Astyanax mexicanus: one gene and its partner. The protein of the gene in region 1 interacts with the protein of each later gene in a pairwise test. Links are inferred from orthologs where the notes say so. Each region holds a gene or a part of one and is shown on either strand. Other genes may lie near its edges.

Region 1 (3,758 bases):
CAAAGTCTCCAAAACAACCATCAGGCGCTATCTACATGCCAACAAGCTGTTTGGGAGGCATGCACGGAAGAAACCATTTCTCACTCACAATCATAAACGCAAACGTTTGGAGTTTGCTAAGCGGTACTATGACTTCAACTGGGACCGTGTGCTTTGGTCAGATGAAACAAAGATAGAGCTTTTTGGCAACAAATGCTCTAAGTGGGTCTGGCGTAACACAAGAGCTGAGTATGCAGAAAAGCACCTCATGCCCACTGTGAAATACGGCGGGGGATCAGTGATGCTGTGGGCCTGTTTCTCTTCTAAAGGCCCTGGGAACCTTGTTAGGGTGCATGGCATCATGAATGCTCTAAAATACCAGGACATTTTAAAACAAAATCTGGTGGCTTCTGCCCGAAAGCTGAAGATGGGTCGTCACTGGGTCTTTCAGCAAGATAATGACCCTAAACATGTGGCCAAATCTACACAGAAATGGTTCACCGCACACAGAATCAAGCTCCTCCCATGGCCATCTCAGTCCCCAGACCTCAACCCCATTGAAAACCTGTGGGGTGAGCTGAAGAGGAGAGTGCAGAGGAGAGGACCCAGGTCGTTGGATGATTTAGAGAGAATGTGCAAAGAGGAATAGTCAAAGATCCCTCTTTCTGTATTCTCCCATCTTGTGAAACATTACAGGAGAAGATTAGGTGCTGTTTTGTTGGCAAAAGGGGGTTGTACAAAGTATTAACATCAGGGGTGCTAATAATTGTGGCACACATGATTTGATGTTAAATAATTATTTCTTAATGTGGGATTTTTTTCCTACTGAATAAATTCACTTGAGTTAAAGGTTGTATTTTACTCTTTTTTTCCATCGTGGTCCTATATTATTTTGAACAAAACTCAATTTATGAGAAGCTAAAGAACACATCTTAACCAGGGGTGCCAATAATTATGGAGGGCACTGTATATATATATATATATATATATATATATATATATAAACAGGAGGACCGGTGAGTTTTTTGGCTTTCTCAGTCACGTGACATCGGGTTCAGTAGCTCCTCTATTTCCACTCGCTATTGTTTAAGTGGATCTCCGTGGAAACGCACGGCCGAAGTGTAATGACAGTGTGTGGCAGTGGACAACTATTTTATAAAATGCGAGGTAATGAAAATTAGATTTGTGTCTGGTGGGGACTAAATATTTCAGCGAAAAACAGTAAGTAATTCAGAAGACGTTTGGGAAAAGCACGTACATGGTCGTTCCCGGACTGGAATAAAATCAAAGAGGATCCCCCCCATGAATGAGATTTCAGATAGGACTAATGACTAGGCTTACTCCCTGTCCGGAGGAAGCTGCCCCATAGTGTTTAGAAGAGTGGAAAAGGCGGTTGGTCATACAAATGCTAACGTTACTGTTTTACTGTCACTTTATCATAGATAACTAGCTAACTATATAACCTACTGCTAACTAACCAAGTAACGTTAACCTAACACAGTAACCGAGTCAACCTAGTTAGATAGGTTAGCTTACTAGCCGATATGTTGTTACCGAAGAGCAGCATCACGGTATGTCAACATCACGGTATACCGGTGTCAGAACTAGACATAAATAATGTCTGAGAAATTTAAACTGTATCATATAGCTAGATAAAAGACAAGAGAGCAATAATTATCTAGTTAAAACGAAAAATAACTTAAAATTAACATTAAGCTGGCTAGTTATCTAGCTAGGTAGGTAGGTAGCTAGATAGCTTGTTAACTAGCGTTAGCTGTAAAAGTTTGCGAGAAGGTTTGGCGTGCTCAGGCGGACTAGGCTGGTGCCTGGACCCTGTCGGACGCAAACTCAACCCCGAGGAGTGTTGGGCCGAGTTCTGGACGTGTAACTAATAAGAGAATGTTAGTTTTTAGGTGGACACAAGCTAGTAAACAACATACTGAACGAAGCAGTGGTGAATCAAAGTGGGCCAGTGTCACACTCCTAGCTATCTAACTATCTATCTACAGTTTAGACTATAGTAAACTATAGTAAATCTTAACCAACACGACACGTCCAGGTTTCAGCACAGAATAATTAGCCATGCAGCTTCCCCGAAACCCGCAGCGTATCGTGCGAGGGCTGCGGAGAAAACAGGAACAATGGAGCATTTATTGATTTCCGTTAACGTTACCCTACCTCTTCAAAAACAAGTGCTGGCTAATCCAGCTCATCTACAGCTGGCCTGACTCGCCTCTCATCTGCACAACACACACAGTTAATCTACAGCTCACGATCCTGAACTTTAAGGGACGAAGATGCTGCCCTGTGTCGGACTGTGTTACAAAATACTGTTAGGTTAACTATTTAACGTAGCTAGTTAAAATGAGCTAAATCTGGTAGCTAGGTTAAACATTTCAGGCGAGAAGCTTAAAGAAGAAGACATCTGTGTTTTGGACTGGAGCATGATAAACCACTAGCGTGCACACAAAACAGGATTAAATTAAAATTCATTACTGAATCACTAATAGCCTCCTGTCCCCACTGTCCCCTTAAAAGAAAAAGTTACAGTGCTGCTGGTCTGCCTATGCTAGCTCATGCTAGGTTAGATGACTAACATTAGAGCTAACCTAGCGCCATCCTCTCTCGTTGTCACACCAAAGAGCGCTGAAAACGGCCCGCCTCACTTCACCACGTCTTCGACAAGGTCACGACTGTTTAGCTACCCGTATAAAAGTTGTTTAGGTGTCTGAAGTACTGAGTACTTTCAGTTCCTGTAACCTACTTTTTTCGTGGATCCTGCGTGTGACTGTGTGCCAGAGGCCCCGGAGAAGCGGCGTTATTTCCTTTTCCACCTGTTTTCAGACAAACACCGCCCCCTCAACTGGGATTGGCCGCTCCAGGTTTTATTATTATTATTTTTTTATTTAATTTTATCCATTACAATCAAACATAATACATAGAAAATAATAGTATACACACAAATACACAATTATTAATAATATTGCTAGGCTAATAAACATGATTTATTTAACTGTAAAATGGCTTTTTGCTTCGAAAAGGGCTGTATTAATTTAATATAGTGTTTCATCTCTTTTTCAAAAGCAACAAAATATATTTTAACTGGAAACATTACAATTAATAATTATTTAAAATGTGACCATTAAAAACATATAAAATGTATGATATATCAAAGTAAAATTTAAAATGAACTTTTCTACTTCTTTCTTACTTAAAATATACAGCAAGGAATGCATAGTTAAACGTGATTGGAGGTTTCTCCAGGCTCCAATGTGCACATATAACAAAATAAATACACGCTAGACAAGTAGACATTTTAGACAGCAATAAAATATATAAAGAGAAAGAATGTTTTAAAATATGCATGTGCATATTTATATCTGTAATTCAGCAAAAGACAGAAAATATACCAGACAGTACATTTCATGCATTTTAAAATAACATAAGCACTTACGTTTTCCAAAATTATATTTTAAATCTGTTTCAAAATTGTGCGTAAATGTTATAAAAAAGCTTTTGGCTGGATATATTTTATGTAACAATACAAGCTTATATGACACTTCCTTAATTATATTAGTAATCAGGTATTGATTAGGAAAATAACCATATCTTTTAGCAGCGAATGTCTTCAAGAAAAAAAATTTATGAAAATAAGCTGCTAGCCAATCCAAACTCAGCTCGAGGAATACTATCAGCCAATCCGAGCCCAGAACAAGGGACATGTCAAAAACGGGTGGGTAAAAAATACGCTGGGAAGCGCACCAAACTCGTGACGTAAG
Region 2 (3,758 bases), on another chromosome or scaffold:
ACTGAGCGGGCAGGGAAGTAGGACGAGGATCCCATGGTCCAGCGATGGTCATCGGTGACAACACTGAAAAACATATACATAAGATTTCTAAGGCATGAGGCACTCAAAGTTTTAGCACCACCTCCTTGTCTATTATACAGCTCTGGAATAAATTTAGAGAACACTTCAGTTTCTGTATCGTTTTTTTTAATTTTGCTATTTATAGGTGTATGTTTGAGTAAAATGAACGTTGTTTTATTCTATAAACTACGGACAATATTTTTCTCTAATACCAAATAAAAATATTGTAATTTAGAGCATTTATTTGCAGAAAATGAGAAATGGCTGAAATAACAAAAAAATATGCAAGAAAAACAAGTAATTCAATTTCATACTTATAAAGTTTTAAGAATTCAGACATTTTTAATCACAGTTTTCATGCATCTTGGCATGTTCTCCTCCACCAGTCTTACACACTGCTTTTGGATAACTTTATGCTACTCCTGGCGCAATAATAAATGGGCTGTGATCATCCATCTTCCTCTTAATTATATTCCAGATGTTTTCAATTTAGTAAAATCAAAGAAACTCATCAAGTGGTCTCTTATTTTTGCATTAATAGCTGAGTAACATACTGAGTAATTAATTGTTAATACTATTTGTGATTGTTTTCCACCACAAGAACATTAGTGAGGTCATGTACTATTGCTGAATGAGCGGTTCTGGCTCTTTAGAGGTATGGTGTCTTCTCCCAACACACCTGATTCAACTAATCAGCACATTACCAAGCCCTTTCAGAGCTGCAGTGGGTGCTTTAAAATAAAGAATATACTAAAATGTGTACTAGGCAAATTGACTTTTGTCTTGGGTTATCAGTCAGTGAAGCACCTGTGTTTTTCACCGCCAAAATACAAACATGCCAGAAATGTATCTGAACACACCTCACTTCCAGATCACTACGCCCTTCAGTGTAGATTTATTCCTAAACTCCGACACTATTTTAACTACACGGGCACAATGCGTGAAAACAGACCTTTGATAGAGTATGAAACAAAAAAAGGAGCATCGCGACGCACCTTGCACAGGGTGTTTGATAGGACTCTTTGTCTTTAATTTCTCTTAACTGTGATCAACTGATATTTGGTATTTTGCAGAAGTTGTTTTGGAAAATTTCACCACAAGGCTTTTCCTGTGTACACAGTCTGAGCGTGAGGACCAGTGTGTCTGGAACAGTCAGAGAGGGCATGATCCAGCAAAAAACGAGCTGCCCCCAACACACAGTCAGCATTCTCTTTAAAAAGAGGAGGCTAGCACAGAGAAAAACTGGCCATGTATATCTGATTTAACAAGTTTTTCAAAACTAGAATGTACTATACGTTGTTAGAATAAAATATTAATAAATCAGAAAAATGAACATTTCTTTAAAAAGCATTGCCACAGCAAAAATGCAATACAGCTATGTATTATATATTTACTGACTCGCTTTCCTGTAGCTCTCTGAAGACCACAATGTCAGTATAAAAGTATAAATTTCAGTTGCATTTAATAGACATGCAGTTGAATGTTAGTTGAATGTTAGTTAAATGTTGGTTGAGCATCTGTAAGTAAACTGATGGACCATCCAAATTAAATGATACTAATTATTTTTTTCTTAAGTTTCAAGTTTGAGTTTTCTTAAAATCACTCAATACCTAAAATGTAGATGATCCTGTAACTAGTTTCATTAATTAAGTAACTACAGTTAATAATTTAGTATTTAGTTATTTATGTATGAAAATGAAAGTTCCCTACCATAAATACTTAATACTAAAGTTATTCATACCTAATACAAAGTTTTCAGGAAATGCACTGTATTACTCAGCACCTACTATAAATTCCTCAAAAAGCAATTCATTATTATTATTCGCTACCAACCCTAAATAATACACCTATGATTAATATACATTATTATTTATATTAATATTATTATTATTTAGATAATCTAAATAATTCAGTAACTATTATAAATAATGGATTATCCTTTATAAAGTATTTAGGATCTACTACAGTATTCATAATTATTATTTATTATACTAAATACTATTCTAATACTATATTAAGTAATTTAGGACCTACCTTACCTTTTCTTCTGTGAGTACTAAAGATTACTCCCTTTTTACTATACTGTACTCAATTATACAAAATTTAGTACCAACAATAAATAATTTATTAGCTACAGTTATTAAATATGTACTAATAAAAAATCAGTAAACACCTTAAATGATTCAGTAACTAACTATAGATTAGTTGGTTGTCTAAATATTCAGTAAATCTTTAGAAATACACAAAATACGCAAATCAGCACCTAAGGAACCAATTACCGGCACAATTATGGATCATAATAATAGAAAAAACTACATAAATCTATTGTATTTATGGTACAGAGTAAAAAGCAGAGTACTTACACTACAGTGGAAGATACAGTCTGTAACACACTGTCTGTTCGTTTGACGAATGTTCGAGAGTGAGATATCGAGAGCGTGTGAAATTGTGGGAGTGTGATGTGTAGGGTGGGGGGTATAGGGGAGCTTGGTGGGGGGGGGGGGGGGGGGGGGGTGAACATGCACAATAAAGGCATGGTTCGGATGACCTTGTGTATTAGGTAGTGGCCCATTCAGTGCGCCGCACGCAGTTTGTGCAGTGACCCAGAAAGGAGCTCGACTCATCAAAACCACTGCATCCAGTGAATCAGCTATAAGCAGCTATTGTGTGTACACCAATTATCTCTTCACAATCACTTTTAGTGCATGTGTGAGGGTGTGTGTGAGAGTATGTGTGAGTGAGGGAGTGAGAGAGATAGAGAGTGTTAAAGAGATGCAGAGTGATATAAAAAGTTTCAAAATGCAATGGTGACAATGCAAAAACAGATTTAAATGCATGCACAGTTCTTTGACACGTATATTGTTTTTTCATTCACAAGAAAATCTGTAAAAAAAAATAATTTACAGAATCTACATTGCAATAAAAAGGTTTTTATGCACTACATATAGACACAATCCGTATGGTTTGCATAATTATTGCATTAATTTAATACTATAAATCTATTTTTATATTCTAATTATAGTGAAACCCAGTTTAGTGCTACATCAAGTCCAGTTATGCATTAATTTTTAATGTTTAATATTTTTGAACCATTAGTTTTATTAAAGAAACATTGAGGAACCATTTTAGGCTGTATGTTTTATATAATGGTAAGTTTATTTTTATGTTAAATGTTTTGTCTGATTCTCTGTCCTGTAATTATATTTCTGCAAAGCTGCTTTGCGGCAACACCAGTAAAAAACGCCATGTAATTAAATTTGTTTAAAATTGTCCACGCTCTTAGTTGATCAGATCATTTGATTCTACCCCTTCAGGATAATGGCTTGTGTCAAGAGTTAAGCTCATCTATTATGCCTAAATCAAAATAATAATATCTTTCCAAGATGGAGCTTCCTTCATTAATCTAATCTTCACTAAACCAATTCAGCCTCATCCCCAAATGGTAAGTAAGGAGATTTTACTTAAATTTAAAGTTTACATCTTATTAAAAAAGAGTATAGGCTATAAATATTAAATATAGTTTCATAGTTTAGTAGATTTTTAAATCTAGATTTTTGTTCTGCATTTTGGTCAGCAAAATAGCTATGTCCATAAAACTAGCTAGAACTGCTCTATAACTTGTGGCAGTTCAAATGTAAAAAAAAAATTAAAAATTGTTTTTTAATCAGTACTTTCTACATTTAGAATTAGAATAGTTT

The links. The genes of interacting proteins can lie anywhere in the genome.
Region 2: the proteins of trip6 (region 1) and neu4 interact in binary tests that used the Homo sapiens proteins (3 or more experiments, as listed by UniProt). The two-hybrid records come from large-scale screens. The link is inferred for Astyanax mexicanus from reciprocal best matches to the Homo sapiens genes TRIP6 and NEU4.

What each region holds. Positions count from the first base shown.
Region 1 is NC_064415.1:18,461,359-18,465,116, forward strand, and holds the start of trip6 (thyroid receptor-interacting protein 6), read right to left. Parts: upstream 2,820-3,758; 5' UTR 2,744-2,819; intron 2,711-2,743; exon of another isoform or gene 2,589-2,710; intron 1-2,588. UniProt on the Homo sapiens protein: Relays signals from the cell surface to the nucleus to weaken adherens junction and promote actin cytoskeleton reorganization and cell invasiveness. Involved in lysophosphatidic acid-induced cell adhesion and migration.
Region 2 is NC_064411.1:41,214,194-41,217,951, forward strand, and holds the start of neu4 (sialidase-4), read right to left. Parts: upstream 2,488-3,758; 5' UTR 2,424-2,487; intron 64-2,423; 5' UTR 36-63; coding exon 1-35. UniProt on the Homo sapiens protein: Exo-alpha-sialidase that catalyzes the hydrolytic cleavage of the terminal sialic acid (N-acetylneuraminic acid, Neu5Ac) of a glycan moiety in the catabolism of glycolipids, glycoproteins and oligosacharides.